Elephas maximus indicus: one gene and its partners. The protein of the gene in region 2 binds, or shares a complex with, the protein of the main gene of each other region. Links are inferred from orthologs where the notes say so. Each region holds a gene or a part of one and is shown on either strand. Other genes may lie near its edges.

The links.
Region 1: UPF3B (region 2) and MAGOHB share a complex: the UniProt entries of both Homo sapiens proteins name them as parts of the mRNA splicing-dependent exon junction complex. The link is inferred for Elephas maximus indicus from reciprocal best matches to the Homo sapiens genes UPF3B and MAGOHB.
Region 3: the proteins of UPF3B (region 2) and UPF2 are in contact, whole or in part, in a crystal structure (PDB 7NWU), measured with the Homo sapiens proteins. The link is inferred for Elephas maximus indicus from reciprocal best matches to the Homo sapiens genes UPF3B and UPF2. Residues at the interface, in NP_542199.1 of Homo sapiens: Lys52, Arg56, Arg57, Tyr79, Glu81, Phe83, Asn85, Asp86, Thr87, Ser88, Leu89, Tyr90, His92, Tyr94, Arg96, Tyr98, Ile130, Glu132, Pro135, Phe136, Lys138, Ala139, Ala140, Arg147, Asp148, Lys150, Val151, Gly152, Thr153, Ile154; in NP_056357.1 of Homo sapiens: Lys767, Arg768, Pro769, Pro770, Leu771, Glu773, Tyr774, Lys777, Lys790, Arg793, Gln794, Arg796, Lys797, Leu798, Pro799, Trp800, Gln801, Cys811, Ile814, Asn815, Trp817, Tyr837, Gln838, Glu839, Asp840, Ile843, His844, Val846, Asp847, Gly848.

Annotation. Positions count from the first base shown.
Region 1 is NC_064822.1:69,354,136-69,363,890, forward strand, and holds the start of MAGOHB (protein mago nashi homolog 2), read right to left. Parts: upstream 4,170-9,755; 5' UTR 4,104-4,169; coding exon 4,010-4,103; intron 1,637-4,009; coding exon 1,578-1,636; intron 714-1,577; coding exon 603-713; intron 1-602. UniProt on the Homo sapiens protein: Required for pre-mRNA splicing as component of the spliceosome. Plays a redundant role with MAGOH in the exon junction complex and in the nonsense-mediated decay (NMD) pathway.
Region 2 is NC_064846.1:37,042,878-37,052,964, forward strand, and holds the start of UPF3B (regulator of nonsense transcripts 3B), read left to right. Parts: upstream 1-6,043; 5' UTR 6,044-6,114; coding exon 6,115-6,270; intron 6,271-7,195; coding exon 7,196-7,302; intron 7,303-7,469; coding exon 7,470-7,576; intron 7,577-9,639; coding exon 9,640-9,738; intron 9,739-10,087. UniProt on the Homo sapiens protein: Involved in nonsense-mediated decay (NMD) of mRNAs containing premature stop codons by associating with the nuclear exon junction complex (EJC) and serving as link between the EJC core and NMD machinery.
Region 3 is NC_064822.1:45,340,453-45,350,275, reverse strand, and holds the start of UPF2 (regulator of nonsense transcripts 2), read right to left. Parts: upstream 4,356-9,823; 5' UTR 4,281-4,355; intron 1-4,280. UniProt on the Homo sapiens protein: Involved in nonsense-mediated decay (NMD) of mRNAs containing premature stop codons by associating with the nuclear exon junction complex (EJC).

The DNA of each region.
Region 1 (9,755 bases), on a different chromosome or scaffold from region 2:
AGGGGTCGTATCTCATTTCTCCAAGAGTTGAAAAGACCCAATTCAGAAAGCAAACTGCATTTCTATAGAATGAAATTAGGCCTTCAGAGTTCTTCAGAAGCCCTTTGAGAAACATCAATTATTCTGAAGGGAATATGAGAGGCAAAGAACAAAGAAACCAATCAAATTCTTCTCTGGGACATAATAATGCAAATAAGAATTCTAAAAGTTATAAATTTGGGGAAAGTGAACTTCACATAGTCAATTAAAATTATAAGTCTAGAACTGACAAACAACACTTGTACTTACTCCTAATAAAAGCAGTTAACATACAATAGAAACTATTCATAATTGTGAAAATATCCTAATTTTAGCTAGGTAGCTATGATGAAGATTATCCAGAAAGATCTCTAAATTTACAGCTATACATTGACTCCTTTCTACTATGATGTAGCATGGAAAATGAATCTAAATGAAATAAAATTCTAAAATAATTATCAGGTGCCTACTAAATGTAAAATCAAGACCCAGGGAAGACTCATTCTAAATAAATAAGGTGAAACATAACAATTACATTGCCAATTTTTAATATTTATACATTTAAAGAATTATTAAACACTAACCTGTCGGCCAACCCTGTCAGGGGGAGGCCATAAAGCATCATCTTCTTTGGTAATTTCACTGTCGTCAATAATTCTCTTCAGTTCTTCCATTACACTCTTGTGTACATAAGCCTGAAAATAAGTTATAATAAAAATTTCATGCTTGACTATTTCTTCCTACTACTCAGAAAGAAATGATTAAAAGGAGTTACAAACCCTGAATATTCAAATATAATATTATAGAAAATTTTAATTCTGATTTCAAACTTACAGGATGGGAATCATTCGTTCTCCATATGTTATTTTTTTTCACTCTTTACCCTTTCTTCTAGTACATATTTTTCCTTCTTCTCATCACTAAACCAAAAACAAACCAAACTCATTGCTGTCCAGCAGATTCCGACTCATAGCCATTCTATAGGACAGAGTAGAACTGCCCATAGAGTCTCCAAGGAGCAGTTGGTGGATATGAACTGCCGACCTTTTGGGTAGTAGCTGAGCTCTTAACCACTGCACCACCATGGCTCCAATCACTAGCCGGTTTTAATACACTATATTCCATCTTTGAAACATGGGGACTTATATATCTCAGAGTATAAATGGTGACAGTACAAAGTCTATGAGGTAAAGAGAGATAAATACCAAACACATACCAGTTACTGCTTTGAACTTTTTCACACCTCATTTTGAGTCTTTAATTTAAAATGTATACTATTTTTAAATCATGTTCATTAATTGGCTTTAGGTAGCAAATAAAAAACAAAATTAATTATAAAATAAATTGGATGATATGTTCAAATGTGGGACTATAACTTAATATATCCAGGTAGCTTCTTTTGTTGTTAGAGATGCTACAATTATATCTAATTTAATTGAATCATTTTTCAATCTATAAATTGGCTTCTTCTTTACAAACAGCCTCAGATGTACTTTTGTTAATTCAACAAACATGAGGAAAATGGACTAAATGTAAAAAAACACACACAAAAAACTTACCTCTTTTCTGATCATAACATCATTTTTGTAATTGCTGTTGTTGGCATATCTAAGCTTTCCTATGGAAAGTGGAAAAAAATTCAATCCATAACAGTAAAAACTGCTAAAAAATAAATGATACTGTAAGCAATTTTTATATCACATTAGCATTTCCTCCCTCCTAGTGTAAGATCATGGCAACCCCATTTGTGTCAGAGTAGAACTGTCCTCCACTAGGTTTTCAATGGCTGATATTTGGGAAGTAGATCGCTGGGCCTTTCTTCCGAGGCACTACTGCTGAACCCAAACCACCAGTCTTTCGGTTGACAGCCCAGCGCCATCACCATGAATAAGAACAGACTTGAAGGCAACTGCTAACTGGTGTATAAGATCAATGTTAGACATAGAGACACTCAATAAATATTTGTTGTTAAGTTGGTAGAAGGTGAAGCTAGTCAAATTTTTTAATATTCCATGCCTACACTATATAATATGAAGGTCATTTTTAAGGCCCATTTTCTTAAGCTATGTCATGAACTGGAAAAGAAATCTGAAAAAGGAACTAATATATCTTTTTAAGTTTATGTTATATATCTGTATTGGTGCTAAGTGTTTTACCTAAAGCATCTATTCTAATGGTAAAAACAACCCTAAGTAGTAGATTTTATTATCCCTATTCATTTTTTTTTTTTTTTTTTATTCATTAGTAAGAAAGCAGTTAAGTAACCTGCCCAGGATCATACAAGGTTCATATCTAGACCTACTGTCTTCCAGTACTCATGCTTTTTCCACTACTCCAAAACATTTTCTTTTAATTATTTCCCTTCAAATTAATGTACATGATTACAGCAATAGTAATGTTTTAGTACTGTGACAAGCAAGCATACAAATTCTGTTCTGGCTCTGGATAAAAGATTACCAGTTTGTTAGCTGATTTATATTTAATTTTAAACCATCATGACTTTTGTACTCTCTGATAAATCGTTCTCCTCACAGCCAGTCAGTTGTCCAGGTACAGACGTAATGTGGTCCTGACCCTCTAAAATAATAGGGTGCCCTAGTGCAACGGGTTTGTGTGCGTGTGTGTGTGTGTGTGTTTTTAGGGGGGGTTAGTGATGTGTACCCCTTAGAAATTGTCTGTGACCCACTACTATTGATGGAAGTATGTGGTACAGTGTGGTGGAAGATAAAGGGATGAGAACCACTGTTCCGGCATAAAATTTCCCTGATACGTCAGGGTACTTAATTTATTTGACTGGCTAAAAAGGCGTATGGACAAGCTGGATGATGTTCACAGGTGAGGGGAATGAAAATAGCATCACATAAGAAAAGCTCAGATGAAGAATTCAGGTATATTTAACTCCTTAACCAAATTTAGAAAAGACATGCAGATGACAGGGTAAATGAGGTGATTTAGGTTTCTAAATAACAGCAGGGCTGTAGATACCTTGATTTCCACCTGAAATGCCTGATACTCTTCCCCTTTCCTAGTATGTGATCCTCTCTCTAATTTTTCTTTCATATTCTCAAAGAACTTTGTCCAAAGCATATCCACACTGCTTTATGGTTAATTTCACGTCTGTTTCCCACTCAAGCATAACTCTTTGAGGGAAATTAAAGACTCTTACTCTTTACTGAATCCTTAGTTTTCTATTTATCATTTTCCCAGCACATAATATGCACTCCAAAAGAAAATCTATTCAGTTGAACCGTCCTTGTTGCAGGTGGATAGAGTTCAATATACAATAATGCTCTCTCTATAGTCAGAGCTGTCAAAAGACACAATTTGCTACACATTACATGGCAACAGGCAGCTTCACCTTGCCCTCTGTTCATTCTGTTCTCCCAGTCTGACTACCTTTTTTCCTCAGAGAACATGAAATACCTAAGCCTATTTCAAGATTCAGTTCAAGGGTCACCTCCTCTAGGAAGTTTTCCTTGACTGCCTCATGTAGAATTAACCACTCCCCCTTTTGTACTCCTAATGCACCCGGTGGTAAACAACTCTATTTAAGCACCCAAAACACATCACCACACTTATTTGTTCCCACATCGGCCTAAACCCTTCAGAACTGGTCTCATTCTCTTTCTAGACCTGCTGCCTTACACACACTGCTCAATCAATGAATGGGTAGTCCGGAAGTTATCGATCACCAGTTAAGATCTTAAGCATCCACCGGTCCACTGCTTGGTGGGGTGTTACAAATGTTCAAGTATTAGGTCTTTAAAGCAGCTGGCCTTAAGATGCCTTCCGGCGCACTGATTTCAGGATGCTGATTACCTTAGGTTCTAAGCTCCCATTTGTTTCGGCTCAAGCAGTAGCCTGTGTTCGCAACGTACACTCCAGGCCCACCGAGGCTCTCTTGCTCCACCCCACCTCCCTTATTCTCCGCTGCATCTCCGCCTCGCCTCCCTTAGCCCAGCACCCCGCCAGCTGCCCCTCCTCGGCTCACCGTCTGGTCGAAACTCGAACTCCAGGAACTCGTGCCCAAACTTGCCCTTGTGCCCTACGTAGTAGCGCAGGTAAAAATCGCTAGCCATAGCCATTTTCGCGCCTGGTAAGCCCTCCGAAGTCCTGGAAACGGGCCTCCCGGCGCCTGACAGTGACGTCAAGCGGCCCAGAATAAGCGCGTCACTGCGGCAGCCACGATTCTTCCGCCAGCGCTTCTGATCCCCGAGGAAAGCACGGAGGGAGGTTAGGAGTGACGTGAACGTCGCCTCCTGACGTTTGGAAGCACGTTAAAATAAAAATTAAGTGATTCCATTATATTAGCAGAGGACAAAGTGTAAAAAAACATAACGGCATTTTTGTGTGGGCTTAGAACTGAGATTTACAAGTCGGTTTTAATTTTTGTGTATTAAATTCTCACCGTGCAATCCATGGGTGGTGCATGCAAGCGTTACCGCCAGAAGTTGGAGGCTCCAGTTCACCCAGAGGCGCCTCAGAAGAAAGGCTTGGAGATCTACTTCTTTAAAAATCAGCCATCGAAAACTGTACGGGGCCCAGTTCTATCCTCATGGGGTCTCGTGAGTCAGGATAACCTCCAGGGAAACTGGTAGATCTCAGTGACAGGCCTGTGAAGTGGGCATGGCTTTTTTGCCATTTTAATTTGTGAAGTGAGTAAAGCTAAAGCCCAGAATCCGAGTGGGAGACCTGGAATACGTCCATTTCTCCTGCCTGATTTCAAGCACGGGGCTTTCTTTAAACAACGATTGCTGGTATCAGACAGCTAGAAGACTATAATAATAAACACAAAATGGAAGGAATCCATCAGAGGAAGAGGTCTGAAGTTTTGAAAGGCACATTGAAACTAAAACTCCTTGACCGTATAGAAGAGTTATTTTTTAATATCAAAAACTTATAATGTGCTTCATTCCATATTTAAGGGTTAACCTCTAGTGTCCTACAGAGTTTTGGCAATTTGACTTAAGATCAAGTAATGATTTAGCCCACGTTTCTCATCAGATAAATTGAATTGGGGAAGTGAACAAAGAGAAGGATGAGGAAAGACAGAGCGAGCTTTTACACAGTCTGTTTTTCAAATATTATTGATCACTCTTCTGTTACCAGCAGAGTAATTCTGTGTGTTAAATGATCCCATAACCCTCAGCAGGGTTTAGTAGAAAGAGTAGCGCTCAGAAAACCTAAGAGTTACCCAAATACTGCCACTATTTAACCTTGTCAAGTCAGTGTCTCTAAGCCTGTTTGTTCATTAACCAAGTGGATATACCACAATCGACTGTGAAGCTCACGGAATTGTTAAGAGAATCAAATAACGTATGTAAAATAAGCTTTGAAATATATAAAGCATGCCCCATGTGCCAGAAATGGTGGACACAGGAAATAAAAAGAGCCTTTTGCATTTATAGTCTAGAAAAGAAAACAAGCATATAGACAAATACTAGCACAAGACAGCAAATGCTGTAATGAAGAATATGTAAAAAATGCTGGCAGTACAGGAGAGGAAGCAAGTCATTCTAGTGAAGAGTAGGGGAAATTGAAGAAATGGGCATATCAAGGAAGGCTTGTAAAAAAAAAAGGTGCTATTTGAATTGGACCGTGGCAAATGTTCAGAGGGATGGAAGAGCATTCCAGGCACAGAATGTGCTCAGCAAAGTCAGTGGTGTGAAAATACATGTTTTGGGAAAACCAGCACATAGCTAGAATGTAAGATTCATGGAAGTGAAACGACTAGAAACGCAGACTGGGCCAGGTTATATTCAGCCTTACAAATAAAGCGTTATTACATAACTGTTAATATAGACAAATTACTCCTTACTATTTTTTTTTTTATAGGCCACCATGTTGGTTGTCAGCTGCCATCACGTTGGCATCACCACGCACAAAGGAACGAAACACACTGCCCGTTCCTGAGCCGTTCCATAATCAGGTGCAGATCCGACCTCTGTGATCCACAGAGTTTTCATTGGCTGCTTTTCAGAAGTAGATCACCAGGCCTTTCTTCCCAGTCCATCTTAGTCTGGAATTTTCACTGAAACCTGTTCAGCATCATAACAACACTTCAAGCCTCTACTGAAAAACAGGTGGCGGCTGCACAGGAGGTGCGTTAGCCAGTTACCAAACCCAGGTCTCCCACATGGAAGAGGAGAATTCTATCACTGCACCATCAATACCCTCAAAATATTCCTTAGTATCTCTGAAAATACAGACTGTGATCCATTTGGTTTGTTTTTTGGTGAAAAATGAAATCATTCCTACTTCCAATCTTCAGAATCATCTTCTACTTTCCTATGATAAATACTAGAAATGATAGCCTTTCATTTTCATTTGTTTATTTTATCTGTAATTTTTTACTAATTTTTATTTTGTACTTGCTTACAGAACAAAAATTGTCTCATTCAGTCAAAGGACCTGAGGAGTAAGCCAAGAATATTTTATGGTCTAAAATTAACTCTTTATATTTTAATGCCAAAAGACTTGTCACTTGAATCATGATAAGAATTGCAAAATGGTAAAGTATTTGTGTTTTGGGATCTTCTAGGATGTCATACAGCAGTGATGTGGAAATTTTCCATATGGCTACAAAGCACTGAAATGTGGTTAGGGACTGAGGAGCTGAATTTTTATTTTTACATATTATTAAATTTTATTAATTTAAGTTAATACTTACATAGCCAAACATGGCTAGTTGCTACTATGCTGGACAATCCAGTTATAGAAGACCCTTTTCAAACATTCTTACTTGGGCTGGAAGTAGTAAAAATATTTTGTGAATGTTAATCTCAGTTGCCATAGGCTTCAAATTAGGGCACAATTACTAATATCACCACAGTTTATTTATGTAAATAAATGTTTGGGCTGCTTTCATGAAGCCAAATGAAGTCTTTTCTTTGGACTACCATTACCTCGTTTGCTAATACAACCTATGTGTACTCAGCTTCAAAGTACCCTCTGACATAGGTAAAAAGTAAACATTTTATTGTCAGCTTCACTTGAAATTGAGGCTCAATGATTCAGGCAAATACACAAAACTCATTGACAAAATAATGATGCCCCAGGAAAGTTTTTAAAAGTTTATTGCTTTCAGCTTCATCGTGATTAATCAAGTCAGGAGGCTACGGGCAGAGATGGTTCTTATACCAGTTAATTTAATATTTAAAATGTTCTACTGATTTTTCCTACAGCTAAAATTCTCTCTTCCTTTGACCTCTCTTTCATATCCCCTTTGTCTTCACACCTTTTTTTGCCTCTATTTAAAATTATCAAGAGGAAGCCCTGGTGGCGCAGTGAGTGGTTAAAGCGCTCAACCGCTAAATCATTCCTACTTCCAATCTTCAGACATCTTCTAACTTTCCTACAATAAACACTAGAAGTGATAGCCTTTCATTTTCATTTGTTTACTTTATCTGTAATTTTTTAATAGTTTTTATTTTGCACTTGCTTGTAAGCAAGTACAAAAATTGTCTCCTTCAGTTAAAGGACCAGAGGAATAAGCCAAGAATATTTTATGGTCTAAAGCAGTATTTTAAGGTGGTTTCTTTTTATTTTATTTGTAATGCCAGAATGGCATGGTCTATTTCAGTCTTTTTCCATCACTTACCTTTCTCTTCTCTTTTCTACAATAGACTTCCTTGTGGAATTTTAACCAGAATATTTTTTTAACCACTCAGTGGTATTAATTTTTTAATAAGAGAACTTCCAAAATTTCCACACCATTGTTTTTCAGGTAAGTTCATACATGGTGAGTACTTGGAGCTATTTCTAGGTCCTTTTTCATGACAGGATAATATATTTAATTCCATTTTTCAAATTAAGAATTCTTTCCCAGTATATGACAATATTATATGTTTCTAACGCATACATAACCACTAACTCTTATGTCCAAAACAAAAACGGCCTGTTAAATTAAGCATAATAGGCTATCTTCCCAATTTACCATTATCTTTGCTACTTGTTTATTTGTTAAAATGAGTTATGATAAAGCAACAATGTAAGAAAAATTATTACGGCAAGGTTACAATTGAGAAAATTCTACCCATTAACTTACTTTTTCTTTTAAATGTTAAAAAAAAATTATAATTCAGTTTTAACAAAATACCCAAATCCAGCGTGAAAATCACTAGTACTCTGCCTGAGCCTGATTGAAAACTACTGGTTCAAATGATTCCAAGTTAAATGATATTGTCAAGTTCCCAGTGTGACACTGTATCCAGGTGATGTTGGAAATTTCTTATCAATAAAGTATTTTTGTTGTTTTTAGTTGAGGGGGTTATCAAAGCAATAAAAGAAATACCTAATTTGGCTGCCTGGTCAAAGACGCCAGAATTAGAATTCCAGAAATAAAATCTTCCTTTTGGAAAAAGCCTGGCCACCTAAGGAAAAGACCATTTTCTTAGAGTAAGCAATTGCTGTATCCAGTTTCCCAGACCTATAAAACTAGGGATAAAACTTTAAAATAATAGGTGTCTGCTTCTTTCCCTATTACCAAAATAAATATGAACGGACAGTATGAAAGAGCAGTGCCCCATTGTATCTTGTGCCGCCTGCCCATGAACTCACACTTACCTCTTTGCAGTTCCTCAAACAACTGTGCTTTTTCTTGCCCAAAGGTTTTTAACACATATAGTCTTTCTCCCAGTTCTCCTTTCTTTATCTGGCTTCCTTACTCATCCCTAAGGTTTCATTTTACATGCCACTTCTTCAGGAAGGTCCCCATCTCATACTCCCTTCATTTATCCCTTTTTTCAGAGCACTTACCACAACTGCTAATTAACAAATACCCATACAAGTAAATATATAATGTATCTCTAACCTTCTAAACTATAATCAAAACTGCTCTGTTTCTTGTATCCAACACCCATCACAGTGTCCAGTACAGTGGGCCCTACTAATACATTTTTAAAAGAATATTTGAATAAATAAATGCTCTGTGAATTTGATTTAAATGAACTGCTGAGAGCCAACAACGAGATTCCGCAGGACTTTATCGTGTGCTATGCCACTCTCCCTCCTTTTTCCTTCTGCCACTTGCCACCTTTTAAATCGTTGTGACATTAAGTCCTTGTGGTACCCCCACAGCTGCAAGTGTCATTATTCAGTTAGCTGACTCGTCATGACTCCAGCAGGATTCCAACTTCTACAAAATTTTCCACTGCCAGGCATCTTTCCTATAGCCATCTTAGATGTCACTCCCAGGCTACGCAGAGTATTGTTTAGAAGCACAGATCAACCGAATTGCCATTACTACAATATTTTCAATACTTTGAAGGAGTAGAAGACTACTATCACCATCCAGAAGCTCACATAAAAAGGATGACATCATCATTTTGTTCATGTGGTATTTGTACCATCCCATTATCTTCAGGAATGTCCTGGCTTGCAATGTAGCTGACAGACTGAGGTTTTCAGACCCAATAGATTTTAAATGAAAAATATATGAAAAGTTCGGGAACAGGAAGGGACAAAGAAAGAAAAATTATATTTATTGAGCACGTATGTGCCAGATGCTGTATAAATACTCTCTATCCTCACAACAACCCTGTGAGGTAAGTAATATATCCATTTTACACATGCAGAGTCTCTTTTCTGACAGTGGAGAGTGTCTCTGGAATTCTTCCAGTGGCATTAACTTCTATTAATTTACTTTTATCATCTCTATTGTAGAGATTAAGGCAGCTGTATGCCAGAAAAGTCTATAGTCACTCAATAAATATTAGTTTAATGAAATAAGTTTCATA
Region 2 (10,087 bases):
GGTGGGTTTGAAACGATGGCCTTTCGGTTAACAGCCACGTGCTTAACCACTGTGCCACCAGGGCTTCTTCAAAAAGAGTGAAGGTACATGTAAATAATATCAAGACAAAAAAAAGAGAGAGAGAGACATAACTACAGATTCAATAGAAATTTAAAGCCACATAGAGGACTTTGGGAACATGCTAGAATGAACATGTTCCATCTCCACACCACTCTGAAATTTCACTAAGATGATAATAGAGAATTAGAAAAGATCAGGACCCACAAGGACACAACGCTTGTTTAGCTGAACAGAAGAAATGTGAAACCTAAGTACACGCTCAGGAGGAAGCCAATGAGCAAGACAATTTGCCCCGCAGAAGCCTAGGAAAGTTCAGAAACTGAACACATCAGCAGAAACATTTTACATTATCTGCAATAACTATAATGTAGTAGGAAATGGTCTCGCATTTCTATCAGCTATAATCACAAGTATTGCTGTTGCCTACATTCATAATTGAAGGAAATGCTGAATTTCAGTTAGCGGTTACTGAAAATACAGATGTAATTTTTTTTCCATTCAAGTTGACAAGTATGCACAGCCTATGACCCAGCAATTCCACTCTTAGATATATACTTAACAGAAATGAATACATGAAGAATCGTGTAGAAGAATGTACATAAAAACCAAACCTGTTGCTGTGAAGTCGATTCTGACTCATAGTGGCCCTATAGGACACAGGAGAACTGCCCCATAGGCTTCCAAGGAGCACCTGGTGGATTTCAAACTGCTGACCTTTTGTTTAGCAGCCGTACCTCTTAACCACTATGCCATCAGGGTTTCCCAGAATGTATGTAGCAGCATTAATTGTAACGGCCAAAAATTGGAAACAACCTAACTGATCAAAAACTGTAGAATAACATCAAGTAAACAGAACAATCCAACATAGAAGAAAGGCAAAGAGAAGACCCAGGAGAACATCTGTGTACCCATTGCCGTCGAGTCAATTCCGACTCATAGCAACCCTATAGGACAGAGTAGAACTGCTCCCTAGGGTTTCCAAGGAGCAGCTGGTGGATTCGAACTGCTGACCTTTTTGGTTAGCTGCCATAGCATGCCATAGCTCTTGTAGCAGACCTAAACATCAACCAATCCTTACAGGAGGATGAAAGTAGAGGACATGAGGAGAAATGTCTCCAAAAATAAATAAAACTAATACACTGCCTCACATTTGACCATATGAAGGCAGGTTTTATATCTCTGGAGGAGTTTGGAGGAAAAATAGTACTGGTACAAGGAAATCAATCAATCAAACTAAATAACCAAGGTATTTATTAAAAACCTGTTGTTGTCAAGTCAATTCTGACTCAAGGTGACCCCATGTGTATCAGAGTAGAACTGTGCTCCATAGGGTTTTCAATGGCTGTGATCTTTTGGAAGTAGATTGCCAGGCCTTTCTTCCAAGGCACCTCCAGGTGGATTTGAACTGCCAACTTTTTGGTTAGTAGCCTAGCACTTTTCCATTTGCGCCACCAGGGGACTCCAGGAAAAACAAAATGTCGTACAAAAAAGGAAGTATAATAATCATATGTTACATGTCTCAGCTATGAACATTTACATAGTCATAATAATGTTAACACTGAATTATGATTTAATGAAAAATATAATTAAATAATAAGGATGGGGTAAGGAAAAGTATACAGAAGTACAAGACTTTGCATTGTGAATAAATCGTATTAGCACTACTTTTATTTACTCGTGTCTTGACAGTCTACCATGACTTCAGTGATTAATAACAGGTACAACTTGTGAGCTAGCATTACTTTCTACAATCGTTTATGACTTCATGGAATTTTCCAAAACACGTTTTAGAATCTATTGGAGTTAATGCAATGCATAACACAGGCTAGGTAAAGCAGACTCAAGTAAAACATTATGACAAGAGTGCTCATATCCTTATATTGAATGTCAGGGAAGCACAATAAAGAGGACCCCCATAGTTTATAATAAGAACAAAGCACAGTCAAATTTAATCTTACTTGGAAACATGCCTTCAAGATGATTATTCAGGTAATAAGGTTTCTTGTTTAGCTCACTGAGTCATAAATATTCTATATTTCCAGCTTTTTTTATTAGTACAGAGAAAAGCAATTTATAGCAAAGCTCACCAATGAGCAGAGTATTTTTAGGTCCAAAACACTGTTTTCTCTCTGTTCAAGACTCCCTGTCCATTTCTCTCTTTTAATTGAGACTGGAGAATAGACAAAATTATTTTACATTTCTCCCCTCAGTCACTTTCTGACTATATGTGTGCATTGGGGGTGAGATGGTGGTCGTAAGAGAGGTAAACCCTCATTTTCAATAAAAAGTCAGTAGGTCATCCCCTCCTTTGTTTATGCGTGAAACTGAGAGCAGTACAAGGGCAAGGGGGAGGGGAAGGATTTGGGGGATTAATTAGGCAAACAACCTTTTGTTTTGAGTTTAAGATTTAATGGGAAAAATTCAAATAGTTTTTAAAATTGTAGAAAAATGACTAATTTAACATTATTCTTCTTATCATCATCAAGATAAAGCTTTTATATTTGAATACGCTGTTCTTGGCTGGTGAATCTAAATGATTCCATTTTTAAACTCACCATTATTCATCATTATATGATCATCCAAACAATGCTTTAAAGCATCTGAAACAACCAAAAGGCAAAGGATCTTTAACATCTATAAAGAGGAAACATGAACTATGAGATCTTTTAACACTGGAAACTTTTTTTTTTTATCTTTGGGATTACTACTCAGAATTAGAAAATTGTTCATTGTGAACCATTCTTCCCTTCAGCCCTTAATCCATACCGCTGAGAAGTTTACCATGCTTAAAGGAGAAACATATTTCTGAACTTAACTTTTTTTTTTAATTTTAGGCTAAAAAACAAAAAACAAACCTGTTGCTGTGGAGTCAATTCCACTCACAGTGACCCTGTAAGACAGAGTAGAACTGCCCCATAGGGTTTCCAGGAGCCCCTGGTGGATTTGAACTGTCGACCTTCTGGTTAGTAGTCGAGCTCTTAACCACTGCGCCACCAGGGCTCCTATTTTTGCTTAAGAGGGGCTTATATGTTCTTCTTTGGTATTCCCCCCGCCCTTTGGGGGCTTGTTTTATAGCCTCAGTCTCCTCAAACCTGAAGTTCCATTATCTCTCTCTCTAATTGTCTTTTCTTCTACAGCCACGCAATGTGTTACTATACTTTTAAGAGTATCTTTATATTTTTGTAATATAACATAAACCTCAAAACCAAACCCATTGTCATTGCGCTGATTCTGATTCAGGGCAACCCCATGTGTTGTACATTATAACTGCTCCATAGGGTTTTCTTGGCTGTAACTTTTTCAGAAGCAGATTGCCAGGCCTTTCTTCCATGGTGCCACTGGGTTTCAACAGCCAACCTTTGGGTTAGTAGTCGAGATGGTGCAAACGATTAAGCACTTGATTACTAACCAAAAGGTCGGCCATTTAAATCTACCCAGAGGCATCTCAGAAGAAAGGCCTGGCGATTTGCTTCTGAAAGGTCACAGGTTTGAAAACCCTGTGAAGTACAGTTCTACCCTGCATACATGGGATTGCCATGAGTTGGAACTGACACAATAGCAACTGGTTTTTAATATAACATAAACAGCATTTCATTAACATTACTATTACATCTGAGAATTTACCAGTATATTTAAGATAACTGGATTTTTTTCTAGTTTTGTGTGTGTTAAACTACTAGACTTAGAGATGTCATCTGGGCTCATTAATCAGCATATTATTTGCCAGCCACGTAATTCTGGGTTTGAGCCACCAACATATCTGTCTTAATTTATGTTGCAAAATACGGAAATGCAAAATTGGGGAAACAACAGTACCCACATAGGTCTGGTGTGAGGGCCAAATGAATTAACACTAATGCCCAGCATAGGGTAACATGATTGTTTCTGTTATTGTGAAAGTCTGTAAGCCTCCTTTTCTCTAAATATCATCTCACTCTCAGCATGTAAAAGGGAGCCCTGGTGGCGCAGTGGTTAAAGTACTCAGCTGCTAACTGAAAGATCAGCAGCTCGAACCCACCAGCAACTCTGTGGAAGAAAGATGTGGTAGTTTGCTTCCATTAAGATTACAGTCTTGGAAACCCTATGGGGCAGTTCTACTCTGTCCTATAGGGTTGCTATGAGTCAGAATTGACTTGTCTGCAAAGGGTTTGATTTGGTTTTGGTCTCAGTACATAGGAACTTTGTAAATTCACACTAGAGAAATAGGATTCATTTGTAATTTTTGTTTGACTTTTATATCCTGTAAAATCACCCCCCTCGGAAAGTTACACATTTCCCAGATTTTAAGTTTATTTGATTTACTTACAAATTTACATAAGCGTGATGTTCTCACTCAGAATTTAATGCAATCCCTCCAAGGCTCAGTAACCCATTTCAGACTAGAAACTTTTTTTTTAATTGAGAAATTCACCTTTATCTCCCATGAAACTGAATCCCTTAACTCATATTTTCTATTAATCTTCTCTCCTGCTTTATGTCATCACTAGACATGGAAAACAGCTGGTTAACACTATTTGTTATAATCCTTAACTGATGGAAAAGTATTTGAAATAATCATACTATGTAAGTTTCCTTTTTATACTGGAGTCCAAAGCTCTCAAACATATCTTTAACTTGACTAATATATAAAAGAAAATATTATGCTTTCCTTCACAGATAACATTAGAGTCAGTAGGCACTTGTGCGAAACAAATTTTTTGGCTTTTTTTTTTTTTTTTTTTACAAATTATCCAACTCCCTTCCTAATTGTCTGTTTAGGATCTGGGTCATTTCAGCACTGATCTGGGTCAAGAATTATTTTTTAAAAGAATAATGAACACAACATTTAAATGAAAATAACTTTTGTACTGAAATTAGATGTTAGTTTTATTGTTCCCATTAAGCTAAGTGGAGTTGAATGCCAGACAGTCCCACATGCTACCTACAAGGAGTTTTATTTGTGAGATGAATGAGTACAAAAGGGACAATAGAACTTGTCGAAAGCAGCCTGCTCTAGGAAGGCCAGGGATGAATTTTTAGAGTAAGGCTTGTATGTATGTGTGCGTAGACATCTTTCTTCTGCTTTTCTGGGGTGTGGTCCCAAACACGATATTGCCCATCTTGGGAAGAAGGACCTTAGAGAGTCCAGTGAAATAAGGAGGAATTCGGGGGTTTCTTTTGAGTCCTTCCTTCCTCTCCTTCTCTTTTCTTTCTTCCCAGTTTGGGACTACTATGAATAATATATAATTGGCTTTTTTTTAAGTGGAGAGGAGGGTGACTCCAACTAAATCATGTTGGGTTTTATTTTTTTTTTCCTTCCTGCAGGGCAGCAATACAACGATAGAATACTTTAAAAAAAAAAAAAAAGGCGATGACAACAAATCTCAGTTTAGTCATATCACGTCATTTAAATATCAGCATCTTCTGCGTGTTTATTATGTGAATCAGCTATGAATCCTAGCCAATATAAAGAAAAAAATTCTAAAACTTCTGGAAGTACACTTTAGAATAGTAGAAAATACAAATCTTTCCCCTAATGAGGTAAAACTCGGAGAACACTGAGTTTATCTGAGAAAAACAAAATGAAGTACAGCCTACAGAACCTATATTTTGGTCTGAAAAACACTGAGCTTTCAAGATTAGAGCATTCAATTTACTCACAAATAGGGACCCTGAGAAATCTATGGCTACCAGCACTCCCGGCCAGAAGTAGGTAGCTACTTTGTATGCCGGGATTTGTAGTCCCCGAAGAGTAGTTCTATTCAAAATGGCGGGATAGCTAATGGTGTGCGAAAGAGCAGGCCCCGACAGAGTCTGGGCCGCGACCGGATTAAGAGTGCCGGGATTCAGCAAGCGGGAAGTAACGACCAGGTGTTAAAACCTTTCTACTGAGGGAAACCGGACGCTCTGAAGTCTCGCGAGATCCTGGCGCGGCCCAATCGAAAGCGAGGCCGGGCTTGTAACTAGGATCCTCTGTTGGGGGGCGGAGCTCTGAGGGAGCTGGGCGGGTTTCGTCGGTGTCTCACATAGCGGCGTATAGGCCCTGCAGCCGCTGTGAGAAACGTAGCCGTGGCCATGAAGGAGGAAAAGGAGCATAGGCCCAAGGAGAAACGAGTAACCCTGTTAACGCCCCCGGGGGCCACAGGCAGCGGCGGTGGGGCTTCGGGGGAAAGCGGGAAGGGGGAAGATAAACAGGATCGGAACAAGGAGAAGAAAGAGGCGCTGAGCAAGGTGCCGGCCGGCCGTCGGCCCGCGAGAGGGTGGGACGGGTCCGCCGCCCACAGCGCATGGTTGGGACTGGGGCTGCCCCCTTCAAGTCCCAGTCTCCCCTCCTGTCTCTTCGGCTGAATGAAAATCGCACCACCCTACCTCACCCATTCGCCTGAAATGAGGGAATCCCCTCCCGGTCAAGCCCTGGGGTGGAAGTGAGGGAAGGGGGGCTCCCCAGATGAGAAGGGTTTAGGTCAGAGCTGTAAGATGATTATCGGCGATGGGACGACAGTGAAGAGAATGGAAAATTAAAAGGGTTATTGGGGAGAATTATTAAATCGTGAGGCGGACCTCAGAGGCGGGAGTAGTTTGTGATAGGATTAATGGAGGCGAGTTGGGGGAGCGCTTAGGGGAGATTAGTGGTCTTTGTAGGGGGGATCGGGAGCATCCTATTTTGGGAGTAATAGGTGCGTTTTTTATACTCTTAACGTTAAAACCAAAAATGTTAGAGTTTTGAATTCTTTAAACTGAATGAGAAAGGATTTTGTTTTAGGATGTGTTGGATGTGGAGGGAGATATCAATAAATCAAGAGTTTGTGGCACCCACAAAAGACCAGGGTTGGCCTACTGACTTCTTAACACTATATTTGTTGAAAAATGGGTGATAAAAAATGCTGTGCAAACCTAATAAATTGCAGGGCCGCTGGTTAAGAGCAGAACCGGAGGTTGTCCTTAATCCAGGCGGTTGTTGTAAGAGTTTTTAAAAACCGCGTTACTAATAGGTTTGACTCTTTCTGATCATTAGGCTGTCGAAGAATATTTTCTCCTGGGTTTTTACAAGTAAAATCATCTTTTAAAACCCAGCTTTCTTCAGGAACTGTGATTCGTTCAGGTATGACAGAGAGTTGATGTGTAGTAATTTGATTTTCCTTATTCATTTCTTAAGGTGGTAGTTCGAAGATTACCTCCCACTTTGACCAAGGAGCAGCTTCTGGAACATCTTCAGCCTATGCCCGAGCATGATTATTTTGAGTTTTTTTCTAATGATACCAGGTAAAGGAAAAGGGGGAGGGGAGTAAAAGAGAAAGATTTCTTCTGTTCTTTGCCTCCTACTAATATTTTCCATTTGATTTTTGATCCTCTTCATTTTAATGTATGTGTACTTGTAATTCAGCCAGACCCCCGCAAGCACATTTACATAATTGCTTTCCTCTCTGCAGTCTGTATCCTCATATGTATGCCAGAGCATACATCAACTTTAAAAACCAAGAGGACATTATTTTGTTCAGGGATCGCTTTGATGGTTATGTATTCCTTGACAATAAAGGTGAGTCCTTATAACTGAACTAGAAGGGGAGTTTCTTCGTCACTTATATGTATAAGACAATGTGTGCATCACAGTCAGTGCTTTCATAGCTTTTCTGAAATCCTGGGTGATAAAATGTGTAACATTTAGAGAGTTTTTACACAGGCGATGAGCTTAGTGCAGTCTTATAAATAGATATGTAACTTGTCACTATAGGGTCTCTATAAATCCAAATTGACTTGATGGCAGTGGGTTTGGTTTTTGGTAGTTTAACTTGTCACTTGCCCTCTAGTATTTATTAACCTGTTCTTTCTGTGGTTTGATCAACTGGATGAAATCACCACCGTTTTCTCATGTGACAAATTTTGCACCCTGGATTAGATGATAATGTTTTAATTATTTACTAGTTTCAGCAGCAATATTGATAAATAACTGTTTAAACTTGTAAGGCAAGTTTTACATGTTTACTTCTCATCTTGCTTCAAGGACCAACATTTGTTTAGTTATTTAATTCAAATACTTTAAGCCAACAGTTCCCAGTGGAATACTGGTTGACATTCTCACTCAGTTGTGTGTAATTAAAACAACAAACTCGATGATCTCCCCCTTTTCATCCAGGAGGGTCCAGTCTATAGGGAAGAACAGTTTCTGCCGTAACTCTCTTTTTATTAATTACCTGCTACTTGTGCAAGATTTAGTCAGAGGATACCCTAGCTGCCATTTGCCACTTTGGGCTATGCAATCACAGGTGAATGGTGTGTCATTTTCTTTTGTTTTTTCAGTATTCCTTCAAAGTTGGTAAAAATTAAATCTTTGCCGGGAAATATACTGGTTAAAATTGAAGGATTGCCACTGTGTATTGGCTACCTTCTATTAATCCTCCTCCAACACCAGTTACTTCTCCACTCCAATTTTTATTCCAGTAGATTGCAATGATTTCCTAATTGCTTAGCATGGAAGTCTGAGTTGCATTTAACCTTTTTCTCCTTTTTTACTCCCTACACTTAAACAAGTAGTGAATCTTGTCAGTTTATTTTTAAATGTCTTGTTTATCTAGACTTACTAACACTTTTACAGTTTATATCCTTATCACCTAATGCTTGGACAACCACTGGCTCTAAACTTATAGGATTTTCCATTTTTGTGTAATTCATTCTGTTATATTGCCATGAAATTAATCTTTAAAAATACTGATTTTAAGATAATTGTGATTTAAAGAAAAAAGTCTAAACTCCTTAGCCCAGTATTTAGGTCCTCCATAGTCTGGTCCTACTTCTGTTTTCTCAGCCTGTATTTCTCACTGCTTCAGCCTGGTTTATCTATTCCTTCTCCTCAAGTATATCACTTTTATTAAGCTAATCTGATTCAACATTCATTAGCATTTCCAAAACCGTGTTTTTTCCATGACTATAATGCCTCCTGGCCATTTCTAGTTGTATGATTCTGGCTCATGTCTACATGCCAACGAGCTAAAGATGGTATTTTATGTCTTGCGTGACGTTTTTCTATGGCGGGATCTGCTGTATTTTTTTTTAATAACAGCTTTATTGAGATATAATTCACATACCATAAAATTCACCCTTTTAAAGTATACAGTTCAGTGGCTTTTAGAATATACATACAGTTGTATAGCCATCACTACACCCTAATTTTAGAACATGTTCACCACCCCAAAAAGAAACTCCATACCCATTAGCTGTCAGTCCTCATTCTCACCACCACCACTGCCCCCAGCTGTAGGCAACCACTAATCTACTTTCTATCTCTATAAATTTGCCTATTCTGGACATTTCTGATGTATTTTTAAATTAGTTTATTTCACAAATCAAAATGTCACATTTTAGGAATTGAGTAAATAAAAATCTTCTTTATTTGCTATATCTTTTCATTATGTTATCAGTGTGAATTTTGGGTTCCTTTGATAGCATGTTGAGTATAGTTGTGCCAGTGTTGTTTATGCCCTTTGGGAAACCCTCTTCAGATTACTGCCATCAGAGGAGGCCTGTAGAGCAGCGGGTTGACTCCTTCGTACTCACTTTTGACATTTTCTTTGTTATAGCAAGTTTTTTTTTTTTTCTAAACAGGTCAAGAATATCCTGCTATAGTAGAATTTGCACCTTTTCAAAAAGCTGCAAAAAAGAAAACTAAGAAAAGAGATACCAAAGTTGGGACTATCGATGATGGTACAGTATTGCTATAGTTATGTAATGTTATTGCTATGGGTTTATTTTTTTTTATATTACCTCTGTGAAGGTTAATTAGATACCAGTATTTTAAATAAGAAAACATATGGAATAAAGTTAATGAGAAAAGGCTTTGCTTAATTGTTAGAATGGAGGTGGATTTCCTACATAGAGTTTCTACTCTATGGTTAGCGGCATTTCATTCCTCCACCATTAAGCAATATAGGATTAAATATTGTGTAGTAAAACACCTTTAAGTCTACTGATTAGACAATGGAAAAAAATCAGATGTTTCAAAGTATAACAGCTGCTTATTGAGACCTCTTACTATTTTTATCATTATTTATTT
Region 3 (9,823 bases), on a different chromosome or scaffold from region 2:
ACATTTCACCACCACAGGAAGTTCTACCAGACAGCATTTATCTGTAGTAATGGCTCTATACAGTTAACTGGAAATAACCTCAGAAACAAAAAATTTCCCCAGCATGATTTTTTTCTAAAAATATATTTCTCTAAACTCAGAAAAACTAGTTTTGTGATGTAATTTCTTTCCTGGACAGTGTTTCATGTTTTAACTCCTAAATCATCTGAAAATTGTACACAAGAAAATCAAAACACTTTCTGTTAAAGAAGTATTTAAAAAAAAACCAAACCCATTGCTGTCAAATCGATTTCCACTCATAGCGACCCTATAGGACAAGGCAGAGCTCTCTCATAGGGTTTCCAAGGAGCAGCTGGTGGATTTGAACTGCTGACCTTTTGGTCAGCAGCCGAGTTCTTAACCTCTGCATCACCAGGGCTCCTTAAGAAGTACAGGATTACCTAAACTTCCTAGTTTTTATTAAAGCTAAAGATATACATGGTATTCTTAGGTATTTTCAAATACAGGTTTTACATCACTGCGGCAAAACTAGGTTAGCAAACAAAACATGTGCAATAATAAATACTTTTAAACACACAAAGAACTTACTTCAGCACTGTTATAAAATGTTATCAGAGAAAGACAACCTAGGCCAGTAGGAGAATTTTAAGTAATTTTTGGAGGCACATGCCACACTCTGTACCTTCTCTCAGCCACCTCTTCCTTCCCCTTTTTCTCTTTTACTCTCTTATTCTCCTCCACTTCCATGTTCTATGCATTCATTTTGACAATGACACCTAAAGGCTTTAGTTAACCCCACTGGTGGAACTCAGAACAAAAAAACAAAAAAATAGGCTGTTAATCCTGTTTAAAAAATCATTTCAAAATGTGGAAATACATAACTTATTTATGTGCCAAGAAAGTATTTACATTTACATTATCTAAAAATTTAGTTATCAATTCTTACACATCCTCAATTAAGTAAAAAAAAAATACCCACCTTTAATGTGAAAAATATGGTCATGCCCTAAAAATCAGCAAACCTTTTAACAAATAACACTAACAGCTACCGCTCATCAGCACTGTGCTAGACATTTACTTACATTATCTCATTTAATACTAAAATCTTTATGAAGTGGGTATTATTTTCCCTATATTATAAATGAGTAAGCTGAGACTGGACCAAGTAACTTGACCAAGGCCTCCACAGCTAAAGACAGAGCTGAAATTTGAACTCACATTCTTAACCAAAGTTAAGAATCCTAAGGGCACCAAATTGTGAGTTGGAAGGCTTGATCATAGATCCTAACTATGACAAATTATAGAATTATGAATCTTGGGGTAGAAAGAGTCCCCTAATAATTAATGGTTAAGCAGTTTTTACATAATGTCTTTAACTTTTCCCAGATTCTGGCTGAAAAGCACGAGGACAAGATAGCACCTAAGTAAGCACAATCTTATTTAGGGATATTCGTCATTACGTGCAAAAAATTAAAATAATAATACAGAATTTGTACTTTCTGATGTGAAGCATCAACAAGTGAATTTTAGGGTTACAAGTAATTACAGTTCTCAGACAATATAAAAAATGGCATCAAAATTTATGTTTTATTATGAAGATAAAATGAAATCTTATCAAAGTTATTTTTTAAATTTTAAAAAGAAATTAGCTTGGAATCTGACAAATTCATAAAGGATCACTCACCATTTATTAGCTCAAAAGAGTCTCCCCCAAAGCTTTGTGACTCTATAGTATTCATTTACTTAATAAATTTTTATCTCAAATACCTACTACATGAAATAAACTCTAGTAGGCATTCATGATAATCGAGAACATGATAAAACACAAAGAGATTCTCAATAAGGCCCTTACATCTTGATATTGCTGTCTTCCTTGAATGATGTCATGCCTACATTATAAGCATATACTTGGCTAAATTTCAGTGAACAAGAAATATGACAAAAATCTAAAGGTTCACGTAGGGGCAGTATGTAACATGTGAAACTAACATGGGCTTTGGAGTCAGACAGACTTTAAGTTTGCATCCCAAACTAGCTATGGAAATTGAGCACCTTAATTTCTCTAAGTTTGTTGTTGTTGTGTGCCATGGAGTCAGTTCCAACACAGAAACCCTATAGGACAGAGCAGAACTGCCCCATAGGGCTTCCAGGGAGCAGCTGGTGGATTCGAACTGCCGACCTTTTGGTTAGCTGCCTGAGCTCTTAACCACTTTGCCACCAGGGCTCCCCAAGTCTATTTATTCATCAACAAATGGAAATATTTTTTTATCTTATAGAGGTCTTGATATAATAAAGTTTCTAGCATAGCAGACAGCATGAGGAAGCACTCAACAAATGCTGATTCTCTTTCACACCAAAAAAATACCAAACCCACTGCCATCGAGTAGATTGCCACTCATAGCAACCCTATAGAACACTGAAAAGTTATTTTAGAGTTAGAAAACCCATTAGGCTTCATCCATTCTGATTCTCTATTTCTACTCTGAGGTAGCAGCAGCAGAGTGATCTGTCCAAGATTACACAAATAGTGTGCGGGCTGGGCCAAGACTCACTGTCCAGTGCTCTTTTCCACTATATAACCTGACTTTAATATTTAGGAAACAAAATCTACAAATGACATAATTCAGATCACTACATATGTATACTAAGAAAATTTTAAAAATTAAGCTGAACATTAAATTAGGCTTAATTTAATGCTCAACTTAATTACTTAATACAATGCTAAAACTCTTTAATAATAAATTCATGCTTCAATAAACAGTCAAAGACTTTATCTAAGGTGTTTCAAAAAGTTTGTCAAGTAAAAACCAGAACGTTAAACAGATTTTATCTCAAAATAATCAAGGTAAAAATCAGTGCTCTTTACATTAGAATATGATAGCTCTAACAAGGTATTTTACCGAGTTAAGTAAAATTATGTTCAGACACCTCTGAAAAGGAAACCATGCTTTAAAACGCCCTTCTTAGCTCCCAAATGTGCCCTGGTGGAGCACTTGGGCTGTATATTTTATATGGTATTCTAAATATACATTGAAGTTACCAGTGAAATTATCTTACTGGTAAAAGAGGTACCAACAGAGTGGAGGGGTAGGTTTAAGGGGATATTTCCCTTTTAAAGAGTCTCCTTTGCATGAACCGTATGGATTATGTATGAAATCACTACAGAGTGAGAGAATAGTGTTTTACCTTTTAATCTCGTATTAGTCCAAATGTTCTAACTAAAGGGCAGAACCACACAGGAGCATTATTTCCCAGTTTTTAACTTTAGTCTTTGAAGAATGTCCTTAGAACAAAAAGAGACTCATTCAAAGTTTTTACAAATTCCACCAGAGTTCAAAAATGGTTTTCTTGAGGTGTCATGCAATTTTTATGAACCACTGAAAACTATGATAAATGAAAAGGGTGGGTGATAGTTTTACTTTGATCTGAAGCGCTACTATTTTTAAGAGTTGATGGTCCGGCCAGTCCAGTGACTACCCCTGGAGCCTTTAAGCTGGCTCTGCTTTGCCAATCTGGACACCGAATAGCCTATGATCATCTCCTTAGTCCAACAGTACTAACAAGAGAGTACCTGAAGCCTTGGAATGAAGGCAAAGCAAAGAATCAACCAGCCTTGTGATCAAATGGAAATAAACTAAATGACCCGGGTCCACCATCCTCACATACACCAAAACCCCTTCCCCTACACACACATCTCCCACCAACCCCTGCTTCCTCCACATTCCTGTATCAAACACACTTCCCCGCTACAACTTCCCTTCCTACGGCCACCCACGGGTGACCTTCGCAGACCATCCTTGCCCCAACCCCAACTTCTCACCCACACTCCCTTCACCACGGAAGACTCACCGCTAGTCTTCCTACTCTACATCTTCCCACACACTCGCCCTCCCCACTTCCTCGCCCTCGCTTCCCTCCCAGCTCTCCCAGAGCTTTCCCCAACCTCCCCTCGCTCTACTCCACGCCCCCAAACACCTTCACCCCGCCACAGAAGGCTCCCCGCCTCCAGTTCCGAGGCCCGGCCCAGGCGTGTGGGGCAGGCACCTCCTCTACCGCCCCTCAAGCCTGCCCCGAGCCGGATGGATGGGAGCCTCCGGGAGAGGGGTCTGAAGAGGACGACGCCGGACCAGCGGTCCCTCTACTGCTCCCCACCCCAGGAGAGCTGGGGTGCGGAGTCGCCCCTTGGGTCCCTCAGGGAGTAGGGGTCCAGGCCGGAGTCCCCCAGCCCCGCTTCCTCCCGATCGTTGGAGCGGAGGGGAAGGAGGTTCCCCGGGACTCACCTCGAGCCTGTTGTCAACATTAGCCCCGGGTTTCCCAGCACCAACTCCAGCGCTCGGGCTCTCCCCTCCCCTCCCCCCACCTATCTCGCACCCGAGGACCCGCCTTCCCTCAGCTCCCCCTCCTCCCTCCGCCCGACGGCCCTCCCGCCCGCCACTCACCAGCGCGGCCGAGCTGCGGGTGGGGGCGGGGCGGAGGGAGGCCGAAAGGAAGAGGCTGTCTGAGCGATTGCCAGATTGCAAAACAGTCCGAATCCCCCATCCCTCGGCATGCCAATGCCCTCAGGTTGGCTCTGCGGTGGCTGTTCCAGAGCAACGGCTCATGTAAGTGTGAGCCACTTAACGGCTGGTTCAAGGAGGAGCGAATTTTTCAGACAGGCAGCCAATGGGGCAGCCACTACTAACACCTCAGGCCAGGGCCCCGACAGCGGGGAGGAGTGTTCTGAGTACCGGAGGCAGGAAGTGGATTGGTCACTAGGAAAGGGAAAGCGCCCGAACTGGAGGTGCGCAGGCGCAGACACTGGAGGGAGGGGAACGAGAATGGGGTGGGGCGGAGCTAGCAGGAGGTAAGAAGGGGCGGGGGGGGGAATTACGGAGCGCCGTTAAGGACAAGGTTGGCCATGTGACTGTTACAGGAGTTTCTAGATGCGAACGTAAGGAAGAGGTCTAAGAAGGGAAAGTTTGATTGGACTAATTTGAGGGAGGTTGAAAATTTAGGAAATTGGAAAGTGGGGAGGCTATAGAATATGGCTGGAAAGGAAGGTGATTAGGGATGGGTCTAGATTTAAGAATGCCTTAGTAAGACTACAAAAGTTCCGTGGGGGAATTTCCAGAGCAGTTTTAGGTGTTCGGTATAAATATATCCCAGAGTGAAGAGTCAAGACTTTTCCCATACGGCTTAGAAAGTGCCCGGTACTAGCAAGCAAATTTTAAAATTACAATGAAATGTTCTTGAATTACTGCGCAAAATCTCCCTTAAAAAAAAAAATCGGCAGCTCCCATGTTTCCTCCAAATATAAACTCGGGTCGAGTTTTCAAATGGGTATCAGAGTATCCACACACTATTTAGTTCCCCTTAAATTCCTGAAGTTGGTGCCTCAAAACAGTGCTAGAGAGGCTCTGCCAACATGATCATGAGCCAAAGGAACATGGTCATGAGCCAAAGGAACAAAGGTGTAAAGCTGGTCTTGTTCATTGCTTGACCTGCAGCGCCCTACCAGGTATCCAAGCCTACGGCATTAGCTGCTATCCACCTCCAACACTGGAGGCAGGTATTTATTGTTGTTAGGTGCCGTTGAGTCAATTCGGACTCACAGCGACCCTATGCACAACAGAACGAAACACTGCCGGGTCCTGAGCCATCCTTAGGATCGTTGTTATGCTTGAGCCCATTGTTGCAGCCACTGGGAGTGTCGTCTTCTTTTCCGCTGACCCTGTACTTTGCCAAGCATGATGATGTCTTTCTCCAGAGACTGATCCCTCCTGACAACATGTCCAAAATATGTAAGACGCAGTCTCACCATCCTTGATTCTAAGGAGCATTCTGGTTGTACTTCCAAGACAGATTTGTTTGTTCTTTTGGCGTGGTATATTCAATATTCTTCACCAACACCACAATTCAAAGGCATCAACAAGCAGGTCTGGGTTCCCTTTAATTAGCTTTTGCTTATTTGCTTCTATTTACTGTTTTGTCTTCCCGTTGTTAGCACACAAATTCCCTTACCAAACTGAATAATTGGTGCCTCTCTCTCTCTCGTATTAAAAAAAAAAAAAAAAAATTTTTCCAAAACACCAAATAGGTCAATCATTTAAAAGGTAGTAGTTGTGTGCTGCGACCATTCAAACTCATAACCCAACTCAACCCATTGCCCTGGAGTTGATTTCCAACTCATAGCGACACTATAGGACAGTATAGGGTTTCCAAGGAGCCGCTAAAAACCCAGCCACTAGTGGATGCAAATTGCTGACCTTTTAGTTAGTAGCCAAGCTGTTTAACCACTGCACCACAAGGGCTCCTCCCAGGGTCCTTAAACAGTAGTAAAGAGACAAATAATTGCTCTCAAAGTACTATGCTTGCCATAAATAGCCACCCACATTTCTCTTCCAAGTTTCCTTTTTCTTAATTTGCCTGAATACTTTAAGAAGACTTGCCTCTGCTGTTGATACATAAATCCTTCTCGCCCCATTCAAATCACATCAGCCTTTGCATTTCATCAGGTTGTTAAAAGGAAATCATGTGAATACAGGTGTTAAGCAATTCCCAAGCCTGTACAATGGTCCAAGACTTTTGTGCATCTTATCATTAAATATACCCCTGCAAACCAACCTCATTAATCTCAAAAATCCCCCTCCTTGTTTCCCAAGGACCTTGCTCACTTTAAGGTAACAAATGGTAGGTGTTTAACCTAAAAGGTTTTTTTCCCCAAGACCTGAATCTCTAAGATTTTGTGTATTTCATGCAACATGTTCTTTTGCACCACTGTATATCCTTCAAAGAACCAACTGTGCATTGTAAATTGGATATAAGCAAAAAACTGCTTTGCAATAGCCACAGCAGTTTTAGAACTCACTGCCTATTTGCAGACATCTCTCTTTCTCTCTAATAGTTGATCTCTTCAATTGTCAAAATCTCACCGTTTTTAACACAGAGATCGGAAGAGAGGAAAGCAAACAAAAAACCAAAGCCATTGCCTCAAGTCGATTCTGACTCATTGCGATCCTATAGAACACAGTAGAGCTGCCCCCATACGGTTTCCAAGCCACAGCTGGTGGGTTCAAACTGCCAGCCTTTTGGTTAGCAGCTGTAGCTCTTTGTCACTACACCACCAGGGCTCCAGAAGAAAGGAGGAGGGCATTTTTATTGAGCATTTGCTGTTTTTGTTGTTGTTGTTAGGTGCCATGGAGTTGGTTCCGACTCAGCGACCCTGTGCACAACAGAACGAAACACCGCCTGGTCATGCACCATCCTTAAATTATTATGCTTGAACTCATTGTTGGAGACACTGTGTCAATCCATCTTATTGAGGGTCTTCCTCTTTTCTGCTAACCCTGTACTTTGCCAAGCATGATGTCCTCCAGGGACTGATCCCTCCTGACAGCATGTCCAAAGTATATAAGATGCAGTCTCGCCATCCTTGCTTCTTAGGAGCGTTCTGGTTGTACTTCTTCCAAGACAGATTTGTTCATTCTTTTGGCAGTCCATGGTATATTCAATATTCTTCACCAATACCATAATTCAAAAGGCGTCAATTTTTAAAATAGCATTTGCTAGTTTAATTAATAATCATGAAAATCTTGTAGGTATTATGATCTCCATTTTGTAGATAAGGAAACTGAGTCAGAAAAGTTACCCAAAGTCACTAGTAGCCATAGTATCTAGTATTCAACTCAAATCTAATTCCAAAAGCCAAGCTCTTTTCACTATATCCTGCTACACTTATGTAAGCTTTTACATAGACTGAAAATGCTGCTGATCATTTTTATCAAGCTTGCCACCAAAAGCCTTCTGATGTGGGGACATCACTGACATCGCTAACTGAAGAGACATGCCACTCTAAAGAGGTCATCATTTTTGCATTCTAATAATTCAAACCACTATTTTCTGAAAATATATTGTACTAAGCATTTAACTGGTTATGTAGATACTTCATTATTTGAGAAAATTCTCAAAAATATCCAGTATCCTCCTTTTTGCTTGCTCCAATTGACAGAACTGACATAACTACCATATGGATTTAAAAAACAAAACAAAAACAACAACAACAAAAAAAACTTGCTATTTATATTGCTGTTTATATAAACTTACACTATTTTCTACTTAAAACCTAGCCACAATGTTGCTGCTTCACAGAAGAAATCAAAGTCAGAGGACAGAGATTACAATTACAGGGCAAAGCAAAGCCTGACTTAAAAAAAACAGGCATCAGGTGAGGCTTACCAGCTCTAACTACAGCCTATACCCACTGACCTCAGGCCAATATAATACAATGATGTGGACTGCCTGCAGATGTGTGCCAGACCTTGAACAAATTCAACTTCTGCCTTTTAGGAGCTGAAGTTTAGTTTAAAAGCCCTTTCATGACTGAATTATTTTTTATACATGTCCCCTTCAGACAGCAGGATGTATTATAAATTGGGCACTAGCATCCCAAGAACCATAGAGGCAAAGAATTTAAGTGGGACTTGGATTTCCTAGCAATCAGACATGAGCACATACTATAAGTGGGGCACTAGCAGCCCAAGAAACCTGAGAAGTCAAAAATTTTAACTGCCACCCCAAGTTTCCTGTCTAATCTTTCGAATTGCTGTTGTCAATTTCATTCCATATAGATAGATTTTAAAAGAGCACAATACTCAAGGCAAACATTCTTTACTAGTTAAGCTAAACTATTGCTTGGTTTTCAGAAAACTTCAGGGGATATTTTTAGTTTGAGGTTTAAGGTTTAAAGATGATCTCAGGGCAATAGTTTTAGGGGTTCAGCCAACCTCTCTGACTCCATAAAGTCTGGATCCCATGATAATTGGAAATTCTGTTCTACATTTTCCCCCTTTTGATCAGGATTCTATAGAATTTTTTTTATCAAACTGGTCAGTAATGGCAGCTAGGCACCATTCAGTTTTTCTGGTCTCATGGCAAAGAAGGCAGTTGTTCATGTAAACAATTAGCAACCCATTCCGTTTACTCCTATTCCTGATGTGTTTTTTAAGTGAGATATATAGTGTTTTTATACTCAGAGGGCAAGGAGATATTAATGATAGCAGGGAAAGACAAAAAAGATAGCCGTAGGAGAAAATCCTCGTGGTGGTAGGAAGGACAGAATCTAGAAGTACAAGTGGAAAACTACAAAAAAGAAAAGTATGTGGAAAAATATACCATGCTCATGGTTAGGAACATTCAACATTGTGAAAGTGTCAATACTACCTGTCTTTGGCTGGGTTCTCTAGAGAAGCAAAAGTAGTAAATCATATAAATATATAGGTAGAGAGAGATTTATATCAAGGAAATGGCTCATGTGTTTGTAGAGGCTGGAACGTTCCAAGTCTGTGGATCAGTATACAGGCTTTTCCTGATTCACGTAGCTGCAGGGGCTAGCAAACCCAAGACCAGCAGGTCGGAGAGCAGGGCTCTTGCTCACAGGCTGTGAAGATCAGCACATCTGAAGATAGGCAGGGAAGACTGCAGGTAAATGGCTACCTCAAGTCCCAAGACCGGAGGTCAGATGAACAGGAGCCAGCTGCAGGATCCAGAATGAACAGAAGCCCCTGAGCCTTGCCAGACGTCTGCTTATATTCAGATGCAGGCCACATTCCCAAGGAAACTCCCTTTCAGCTAATTGGCTACTTGGAGCAGATCCCATCATAGGAGTGATCACGTATCAGGTCTCAGCAGGGAAGTGATCACAAGCACTGAGAATTGTGGCCCAGCTAAGTTGACACACAATCTCAACTATCACACTACCCAAAGTGATCTCTAGATGCAATGTAATCCCAATCCAAATTTCAAAAGCATTCTTTAGCGGATGGAGAAACTAATCACCAACTTTATT